Linked DNA regions of Mus musculus. The protein of the gene in region 2 interacts with the protein of the main gene of each other region in a pairwise test. Links are inferred from orthologs where the notes say so. Each region holds a gene or a part of one and is shown on either strand. Other genes may lie near its edges.

Region 1 (2,797 bases), on a different chromosome or scaffold from region 2:
TAGAGTCTTCAACATGTTCATGGGTTTTGGGGATCAAACTCTGGTTACTAAGCTTATGTATGTACCAAGCGCTTTTTCAGTGGAGCCATCTCACTGGCCCTGGCTGTTCTTTTAATGTGGACATTTCCTTGACAACCCTTGTTTTCTTGTCGATATAAAATAGTGATAAATTCCCTAACAGACTTTGTGCCGGTCGACTCTCTATGATAGATTGTCCTAAGTTGGCGATGGCAGCATTTGGGAGGAGTAAATAACATCTTCAAGGCCTTAACCTGTTCCAAGGCCTTTTCATTCTATGATGTAAGAGTTGTGTATCCATGGTATACATAGCACCACATAAAGCAGCTCTCAAGTGTCATCTCTGGACTGGGGATGGAGCTCAGAGGTAGTATATACAAGATTCTAGGTTTGATCCCCCAGCCCTGCCAGTGGATGAGAGTGGGGTGGGCAATTTCCAGTGACCACTGCATTTTTTCTTTTTTTTTTGCAACCCTTTTTTTCTCTGCTACTATCTCCTGTTTTCTAGTCCTTTGGTGACCAACATAAAAACATCAGCTCATTTAATTAATTGATTTCAAACTCTGCTGGAGGCACAAAGGAGTCAGAAACATATATTGAAAACTTTATAGAAATATAGAGAAAAAAAATACAATTGATTCAGAGATTTCTCCCCTACCTAAAGGACGGATGGACAAATAGTTGGAGCTCCTAGAGGTGACAAGGGTGTTCCTTATCTGTCTCCTCCTCCAGGAGCAAGGCATCTAGCTCCCTCAGCCTTTCTTGCAGTAGAGACCCCACATCCTGGCTGGGTGCCAGGTTGGGAGTAAGGGTTCTGCTTGCTGCGGTGCGGACCCCTCGTGATGGTCGCCGGGATCGAGGAAGGCTACTGTCCCGAAATTCTACTGCCCTTCGGAGCTTCCTAGAGCTGGTAAAAATCAGAGTTCCATTGCGCTCCCGTGGTTCCTCAAAGATGGTCTCAAAGGTCCTGGGTCAGGCAGGGAGCAAGAGATCTTTACCAGGATTCTCCCTGGTTCAAACAGCCCTCTACTGCCCTCAGACCTTCCAAGTTTCTCACCTTCTGGTTGTGGGTGATTGGTAGTTCTTATTTGTATAAATTTCTTCCAAAGTGAACTCCTTCTTATTCAACCTGGAAACAAAGAGCAGAGGGCACTGAAGATATGGGCAAAGCCTGATGCTGATGGGAATTTTGGTTTCTGGGCCAGGTGAGAGTCAGAAGTGATAGGTGAGGAGATTCTATGCACACGCCATGTCCATGCCAAATGTAATGTCCCAGGTTCCTATGCTCCCTGAGAGGACTAGGACTGTCACCTACTTGGTCAAGGTAGCTCCCTGCTCTCTGAGCCTCTTACCTGATTGGTCGAGGCAGCCCCATTGGTGTAAGGTTTGGTTGGAGACGGACAGGTGTCCTCCGTATTCTGAATCTAGAAACCTTCCCCATGGTCTGCAAAAAATGGGCAGAGGGTGAAAGAAAGGCTTGGGCTCAGGCCTTGGCTGGCTCCTGTCTTTATACTCACTCATTACCTTGGTCTCTGGATCAGAAAACACCTTGTCTTTTGAGGCTCTTAACTCCTTCCCCTTCGTTGAACCCAACCTGCAGAGATGGTCAACAGTCAGGACAAGGGCATACACAGCAATGCACTCGTCTTCTGCCAGTGAATACTAAGCAAGGGAGGCAAGGCTCAGGCTGAGGCCAGAGTTCCAGAGGGGGAGTGAGAGCACTACCTGGGTTCTGCCGGCTCGCAGAAGAAGGAAGCAGGGGCATTGGCTGAGCAAGATGTAGTGAGAGAAGGAGAGACTCCCACTCCTCCAAGAGGGAAGACCTCTTTCCGGAGACAGGGTCGAGGAGGTGGTGGGGTCCGGGCCATCTCCCCACAACCCACAGTATGTCTCCGGGGCCTGGACTGGCTTGGCTGGGATGGGACAGGAGGCCAGCTACCTGGGTCAGGGGGCCCTAGATCAGGGCAGGAGTAGCTTCGTCCCAGAGATGACTTAGAGACAGGTGCTAGGGAATTGCACTGAGTCCGCCACTGGCGGATAGGGGGCCTGGGGCTGACAGATGTAATTTTCTCAGTAGCCCTGGACTGCTCAGCCTCCGAGATGGCAATCTTCAATTCTAATTTCATGGGAGGTGAAGGGGGTGGAGGCTGTGGTGTTTTGTTAGGTGTGAAGAAGATATCAGCAAAGCTTTCAAGCTTTGATCGGACGGAACGGAAGAGAGGGGCCAAGCCCCAGGGACTGAGACGGGGTCGTAAAAGGCTTGACGATGTTGGAATCACCGGGGTCTCCAGAGCAGGATCTGCAGTTGGAGAAAGGACGCTCAGGTGACTAAAACATTACCTCAGAAGCCTCAGTTTCTTCCTCCAAACACTAATCTGTCTCTAGAGGAGTGAGCCTGCTCCTAAAATGCTGTAATAGGATTGCCTAATGCCATAAGCCCTGGATTTGATCCCCAGTACTGCAAAGCAAGGCCATAACTGCTCAACTCCTTGAGCCTAAATCCCATTGTTACACAGCCTGCTCTGCCAAGGGAGCCGGCTAAGCTCCACCCACAGTTCTGCTCCTCCTGTTTCAAGCTTAACCGTGGCAGTTCCAAATTCTTCAGTCTCATTCCTCTATTTGAGTCCTTACCTGGTACTGGACTCTCTGGAGGATCTGCAGGTAGAGTAGACAGTTGGAATGGGGGTTCTAGGTCACTGGGTGTAGGCATTGGCTGACCAGCTTTTGTCACAGGCTCAGCTCTCGGGTGAAGGGACAAAGTAAGAGTTGGGCGTGCTTC
Region 2 (3,752 bases):
CTCGCGGATCTCTGAGTTCAAGACTAGCATGGTCTACAGAATGAGGGCTACACAGAGAAACCATGTCTGGAAGGAAAAAAAAATATTCTGAACCATATCTAGGTAGATGCCGTGAGTCCACTATCACTTTAGAGCTCAGTACTGAAGTTGCACTGTTAGTGTAAATAAGCAGCTAATGGTTGTATAATATGTTTGTCCTTTTTAAAGTGCCAGTGACTATGGAAATCTCTATTCATTAGAAACATCACTAAAACCTGTCAAGCGCCAGGCGGTGGTGGTACACGCCTTTAGTCCCAGCACTTGGGAGGCAGAGGCAGGTGGATTTCTGAGTTCGAGGCCAGCCTGGTCTACAAAGTGAGTTCCAGGACAGCCAGAGCTATACTTAGAAACCCTGTCTCGAAAAACCCAAAAAAAAAAAAAAAAAACAACAACAACAAAAAAAAAAACCTGTCAAGCATGATAGCACCAACAGGTAGATCTCTTCATGTGAGGCCAGCCTGAGACATAAAACAGAAAACTAAATTGAAATCATCAGTCCGTCCGTCCCCCCCCCCCCACCCCCCGAGACAGGGTTTCTCTGTGTAGCCCTGGCTGTCCTGGAACTCACTTTGTAGACCAGGCTGGCCTCAAACTCAGAAATCCGCCTGCCTCTGCCTCCCGAGTGCTGGGATCAAAGACGTGCACCACCACCACCCGGCATCATCAGTCTTTTGTAAAAAGTATGAAACTATCTTCTTTTCTTTCTTTTCTTCGTTTTTGAGACAGGGTCTGATTATGCTTTGGCTGTCAAGTAACTCACTACATGGACCAGGAGGCTGGCCTCAAACAGATATCCATCTTCCTGCTAGGATTAAAGGCAATGACCACTAACGCCAGGCTGGAATTTTCTTATCACAATGAGGTACCTCTACCTCAAAGACTATAAATAAATCAACAGACACAGATAATAAATGGAAATTATACATTTGTCTAGATACTCTGAGAAGTGTGGGTATTATCAACACCAACAAAATTGCAGAGAAAATACAAAAATATATGGAATCAAAACAATGAATAACAACTCAAGATATGGTGGAGTCTTCTGTCCCCAACACCCTAAATACCTCCTAAATGAATCAGCTTTTTCACCCCACACCAGACATCCTCAAATGAACAGCAGAAATAGGAGCTTAGAGTATCTTGAATGTTAGGGGAGAAAAATGTTCTTCGGAGAAGAGATTCAGATAAAAGAATTGGGAACATGAATGGTGGTGACAAGTACATGATGACACAAAACAAACAAACAAAAAACCAAATGTGTCTATTTTTATTAAGGTTTTCATTATTTCATCAATGACAATTATCCCTCAAACATACAGGCCTTGGCCCCACTGTTTCCATAGAAGCAACACGTTTTGACTTTTGACATGTAACTCTCAAAAACTTTCATAGAGATAGAAATACAAATACAGTGTCCCTGGAAATGGGTGCTAGTGGTTAAGTCTATTTTTCTTGGATGCTTTTCATTGCAAGTACTTTACCTAAGTCATCTCATTCAAAATTTCAATATTCTTCTCTTAAAAGTTTTCAAAGACTAAAGGCACGTTCTCCAAAGTCTCAAGTGAAGGGAGGAACGTACCAAAAACTACAAGAAAAATGATTAACTCAAGGGCCACAAGAAAACATATGTTTTCCCTAAGGTAATATACAGAATGAATGCCTTAGTTATAGGAGTCATTTTAAGTTAAAATACTCGCCCCCACAAATGCAAGAGTAAGCTTTATTGGGGGGGGGAGGGGGGAATCCTGTCTTTCTAGTGACTCCTGGCTTGCTCTAAGAATTTAACCAGCCAACTCCCGCGCTCCCCACAGGAGTCCAGCCTCTGCCTCTTGGGGAAGGCCGGCCAATCGCGCGCTTGGGGCTCATTGGCTCGGAGAGACGCAACTCAGGCGAGAAAAACCCGCCTCCCACATTCCGATGGCCCAAGGACCGATCGGTAGGCAGCTATAGGAAAACCCAATTGGCCTATAGGCTCGCCAGTCAAATGCTTCGGCAAGGCAGCTTCACAGAACCTGCAAGGATAAAACATCCCGCCCCAGTTGTCCTATTGGCTGGCCCGACCCGTCGCGGCCCCTTCACTGTCGTCGTCCACCCCCCCCCCCACCAGTTCAGCGGTCCATTCATTTCGTACAATAACCGGTGCAATGGGAGCGGGTTCAAGATCTCGTACGGGTAGACGAGACTCTGCCACTTACCCAAGATCTAAAGTGATCACTCACGCTAAGGCCTGCACGGTTCCTCTGTGGTAAAGCGGCACCACAAGCCACCGCTACCGCCGCCTTCTGCGCAATGCCAACCGCCCGCCAAAACGGATCCTTCCCTGCGCCTGCGCAACCAATCCTGGGCTTGGACCTTTTCTCCGCCCAAAACGCCTGCGCAAAACTGGACGCTGGTCCCGCCACTACGCAGGCGCCTAGGTTCACAACCCTCTCCCGCCCGCCATTTCACGTGTTCCAGGCAGCAGGCGGAACATCGTAGTGCGCCGGCGTGAACTCGCCATTTTTATTACACATGCGCCTTATAGGGAGTGGCTGGGAAAAGTCGCGGTGAGCTACTTTGTAGCGTGCGGTCCTTTGACGAGTGAGTTTGTAATGTTCGGGTGTGGGAAAGTTATGAAAGGCATTTAAAAGACGTGAATACATTCAAATATAAGTGACTGGCTAGTTAGCCAATCAATGCGATTAAGGATAAGATCCCTTGGGGCATCAGTGACTCAAAGGGGCGGAGTCTGAATAGAACGCCCAAACGGATGCCGTTTCTTAGCAGGGCGTCTTCACGGGCCAATGGTGGGAGGGAATAATTTCAAATCTCCAATAAGACTCAAGTAAGGGCGGAGTCTACCAATACCGAGAGCGAGGAGGCGGGATAAAAGGGCGAGCAGAAGGTAGGCTGGCGGGCACGTTCGTTATCGTATTCCTTTCTGCTCTTTGACGCTGCCGAGGAAGCATCGCTGAAGGCTCTCGTAACTCTACCGTCATGTCTAAGTCCGAGGTAAGTTGGATGCGCTTTGCAGCTTCTCTTTCTTCCACACTTACTGAATATAGCGGGATGTGACGTGTTTTGCTGCTCGCACCCGTGGTTTCGGTGTTTTATCGATTAGTGCTGAGGCCTACTTTAAAAAAATGCAGGTCGCCATTTTGTCCTCATAGTCACCATGAGGCTGCGATCCGACCGCCATTAACGTCCATGCACTGTTCCTTGTGGCAAACTTCACAGACTAATGATCTGGGGAGTGTGGCCTTTTCTTCCCCTCCCCCATTCTGGTCTAACAATCGCTTGTTAAAGAGATATTAAGTCTTAATGGGGATGGACCCGACTAACCTGTGCCCTTTGTTGCGCGTGCGTATGAAGTAAAAGTAAGGACGCATGCGCTGCGTGCAACTCGAGTGAATCCCCAGCAGCACCTCCTAGCCTAGGAAGGAGCACGTGGTCTCGTGCAGTAATAAAGAACAATAAAAAAGTGTAGCATGTGTTGTTGCGGGGTGTTGATTCATTTTCCCAGGTTCCAGCCCCTCCGCTAAACACTCCCTCCTCCACTTTAGTCTCCCAAGGAGCCAGAACAGCTGCGGAAGCTCTTCATCGGAGGGCTGAGCTTCGAAACAACCGACGAGAGTCTGAGGAGCCATTTTGAGCAATGGGGAACACTAACAGACTGTGTGGTAAGATTAAAAGAAACAAAAGGAAGAGCTGGCTTATTTCTTCCGATTTAATCT
Region 3 (3,752 bases), on a different chromosome or scaffold from region 2:
CCTTCTCTTGGGGCTTTTTTTCTTTGTTTCATCCAATTCAGATATGATAGGTTTTGTATTATCTTATGTTTTACATCTTAGTTTATTATTATCCCTTAGAAGTCTGTTTTGAAAGGGAGTGGATACAGATGGAAGGGGAGGTTAGAACTGGGAGGAGCAGAGGGAGGGGAACTGTATCAGGATATAGTATGTGAGTAAAGAAATCTATTTTCAATAAAAGGAAAAACAATTTAAAAATAAATAAAACCCCTCTGTTTAATCTGTCCAGGGACATTTGTAGTTTCGCCCACCTCTTGGCTACTGAGAATGATTCTATAAAGAAGGTGGAGGTGTTTTATTTTACAGGTGGTGGTGACACACCTTCAACTCAAGACTTTACCTTTATATGTGGCCAGAAAAATTCTCCGTTGTATGTGGCGTCCAATCTGGAGGGTACTTAGCAAACACTTCCGGGTGACAATCGGAGGTCTAAGGAAACATTCTGTAACTATATGCCTGACTGCTCTTGGAGGGAAGGCTCTGTGAGATTTGCAATGTGTTTCTTTTTACTACTGCAAAGTAGCAGAGCTGTCATTCCGAACGCAGAAGCATTCCGGACTTGAAACGAACCAAGCGGCTGGCTCGAAGATAAATAGGCATCCTCCCCAACCAAGCCTGCCTTCGCAGTGCACGCAGGGACTTGTAATTCGTCGCAACCACTTCCTCGCCGGGTAGATTGCCGCAGCTTCCGGAAGTTGGGGCGTGTTAAAAGCGTCAACGTTCTTCTCCCCGCCTCCTAGTCCCACAGATTGACAGCACTAACAGCCAGCAGATAAGCGGACTCGTGCGTCCTGTTACGTGATTGGTTTGGAGTTTTGTAACCGCCCAGACAAACTTAAGGGGAATTGGTTGAGCCACAATTTTGAAAATCGTAGATTCGCCCGCGCTCTTCGCCCGGTAGGTCCTCGCCTGCGGCGAGCTCGCGGTACTGGGAGTCCAGCCGGTCCGGCGTGGCGGGAAGCTTAATCTGCGGAAGCCGCGGACTGGAAAAGGAGTGGTCCGGGAAGACGCGGCGCCGCCGGGTGAGTGAGAACGGGCGTCGGGAGTCGCAGGGTCGCGGTGTTCGGCCACTGGTCCCGGCCTCTTCGCTTCCCAGGATGGGCCAGGGGAGTCACTTTCGCCTATGGGTTGCTTATGGGTGTGGGGATCACTTCCAATGGTTCTAGGCTTGGAGATGAACTTCGAGGCCCTGCACTTGAGTCCTGGGATCCGAGAATGGTCAGTCCTCTTCCCCGCACGCCGGGCCTAACACCTGTGCAGAGCCTGGGCTGCTCTGTAAACCCGGACTTGAGTCTTTTTATGGCAACGGCTGCTCAGCTTCGTCCCAGCTGAGCAGCATTTAAAAACTGACCCAGCTCCGGAGACCGCCCTGCTACTTATTTTGTCATCCCCGCAAGCGTAGGCTCTTGTCAGCGGCGCAGTTCCCTCCAGCTTCCTGCTGCCAAGCGTTGGGATTGTGTCATTCTGAGCTTGAAACTATTGTCCTGGAGGCCTGTGGCTAGTGGTTAAAAAACATTTTAAATCCAGGCTCCGCCCTCCGATTTTCTTGGTGACTTTGACCTAGATTTGTATGTGCATGGGTATCTTGGAGTATGTGGCAAAAAGGAATTGAGAGGTTTCTTGGCATGGAGTAGGACTCTTGAGTGGAAGAGCAGTTTTAGCGATCGATCTTCCTGCTTGGAGGGGTGTGTGTGGGGAGAAATGCTTAGTTCATTTCCTGCACCCCCAGAGGAGATGGCAATTGCTAATCTGCTGAATGGCACAGAAATAGTATTTGTGGAGAGGAAGTGACCTTCCTTCTCCCATGGTAGGGTTTGTTTATTTCGTGGACTGAAGGTGAAGTTACCCAGGAGTCTGATTCTTGTTACACCTCCTCCTTTCCTCAGAGTCACCTTTTCTAACTTTTCAGCGAGGGCTTGCTAGAAAGCACATTTCCCCATGGAAGAAGAAGTGTGGTATTGGACTTGGTGAAAGAAGCGCTCACTCCGATTGTAGCATGAGCAGACATTTTGTAAAATTTCCCATTTGTTACTTTCTTATAGCTCCTCTGCAAGTCTTTGGAGTCCTTGTGCAGTTTTCTCTTCTCTTTGCTGGCCTTGAACTGATGAGGCCTTGGACTTGGCTAGGGCTGTTTTCTGGTGCAGGGGGATAGGGAGACTCAGTGGAGAGGCCATGCTGATGAGTAGCTGGCTGCACAGTTAATGCTTTTTCCTAAAGGCTCAGTGCCCCTATCCATTCGGTTTTGCCCCAGTTAGTGCTGCCTTTGGCCGTTAGGTCAGGGTGTGTTTTGGCCTGTTCTAACATGTGCCTACTGAGTTGCTCACTGAGTGTCCCAGTGTGTGATGGTGAGACAACCTTTAGGATTAGTTGATGGATGAATGAATTCATTCCACAAGTGCCAGACTCTTTTGTTGCTGAGGAAGGCACAAGGCTTACCCTCAGAGAGCAGGTTAGTGGGTAGAGGCCAGCAGTAGGCAAACATAAACAATCACTCATTTGCTGTGCACATAGCTGGAATCTGTGTGTGAGATCTTGGCTTGGATTGGAGGTCTGATCCTCCTTAAGGAGCTGAAAGCTAAGTGAAGAAGCTGTACAAAACAGGAGACAGAGTTCCTAGAGGCCAGAACTTGTTTGAAGGGCAAAAGGGTAGTGTGCCTCATACATCAGGCTGAAGAACTTCAAGGAAGAACCTAGAGGCCACAGTATATGATGGCATTATGTTCCAAGAGGATCAGTAATATAGCCCTTTCTTCCCTGACCTTTTTCTGTAGCTGAGAGGCTGAAGTGTGTATGCATGCTTCTTGCTTTTGAAAGTGTAAGTCATGGTGGGAACTTCCTGTCCTTATATAAGGTGGGATCCGATATATTAGTGCTCATAGCTGCCACCCACTCTTGATCTTTCATGTGTTTACCACTTGGGGTACTGCTTATCGGGGGCCCTGATATGACAGTATCAGAATCCTCCCACTTAGTGTAGGACCTTTGTTAGGATTATATAGTCAGGTCGTACGGCAGATATCCAAGCTCCCAGCTTTTTAAGGCAGTGGGTAAACTGGCACTGCATTGTCTTTTGCCTGGTATTGACAGCCAGGTCTTCCTGAAAGCAGCACATTGCATGCGCACTCACTTCGCTCTCCCTCATCCATTCATAGGACATTTTGGCTTTAGGGAGGGTTTCAGAGGTCTCTTTGGAGAACATGGTTCTGGACCCCTCATTTCTTATGCATTCCTGTGGAATGTATAGCACATTTCCATCTACTGACTCCCCCCCCCCCGCCCCCAAATTAAAGACAGGGTCTCATGTAGTCTAGGTTGGCCTTAAACTTGCTATGTAGCTAGGCATAACCTTGAAATGATCCTCCTGAATTTCTCAAATGTTTGGGACCATAGAACGAACTATGCTCAGCTCTAGTGTCTATTTACTTGTTTACTTGTATAGTGTGTGTGTGTGTATATATATATATATATGAACATGTTGTGTGACAAAGCTTTACCTGGGGAGATGCAACACACACTCCGTTTACCCCTAGATAGGAACCCACAGTAGACCAAAGTATGGATACCCACCACCAAAGTCCAACTTTGTGAACCAGTGAAATGTTTTTTGTTACTTACAGTAGTATCAGTGAGGGGTTACAGGATGAAGGGCAAAGGTAGTATGCCCCACAAATCAGGCTGAAGAACGTCAGGGAAGACCCTAGAGGCTACGTGTA

Evidence for each region.
Region 1: the proteins of Cbx5 (region 2) and Prr14 interact in binary tests that used the Homo sapiens proteins (3 or more experiments, as listed by UniProt). The two-hybrid records come from large-scale screens. The link is inferred for Mus musculus from reciprocal best matches to the Homo sapiens genes CBX5 and PRR14.
Region 3: the proteins of Cbx5 (region 2) and Incenp interact in binary tests that used the Homo sapiens proteins (3 or more experiments, as listed by UniProt). The link is inferred for Mus musculus from reciprocal best matches to the Homo sapiens genes CBX5 and INCENP.

What each region holds. Positions count from the first base shown.
Region 1 is NC_000073.6:127,474,572-127,477,368, reverse strand, and holds the end of Prr14 (proline-rich protein 14), read right to left. Parts: coding exon 2,650-2,797; intron 2,318-2,649; coding exon 1,744-2,317; intron 1,613-1,743; coding exon 1,543-1,612; intron 1,463-1,542; coding exon 1,371-1,462; intron 1,148-1,370; coding exon 1,076-1,147; intron 986-1,075; coding exon 709-985; 3' UTR 611-708; downstream 1-610. UniProt on the Homo sapiens protein: Functions in tethering peripheral heterochromatin to the nuclear lamina during interphase, possibly through the interaction with heterochromatin protein CBX5/HP1 alpha. Might play a role in reattaching heterochromatin to the nuclear lamina at mitotic exit.
Region 2 is NC_000081.6:103,237,499-103,241,250, forward strand, and holds the start of Cbx5 (chromobox protein homolog 5), read right to left. Parts: upstream 2,355-3,752; 5' UTR 2,235-2,354; intron 1-2,234. Other genes in the region: Hnrnpa1 (heterogeneous nuclear ribonucleoprotein A1), read left to right, coding at 3,016-3,030, 3,582-3,698. UniProt on the Homo sapiens protein: Component of heterochromatin that recognizes and binds histone H3 tails methylated at 'Lys-9' (H3K9me), leading to epigenetic repression. In contrast, it is excluded from chromatin when 'Tyr-41' of histone H3 is phosphorylated (H3Y41ph).
Region 3 is NC_000085.6:9,896,648-9,900,399, reverse strand, and holds the start of Incenp (inner centromere protein), read left to right. Parts: upstream 1-910; 5' UTR 911-1,061; intron 1,062-3,752. UniProt on the Homo sapiens protein: Component of the chromosomal passenger complex (CPC), a complex that acts as a key regulator of mitosis.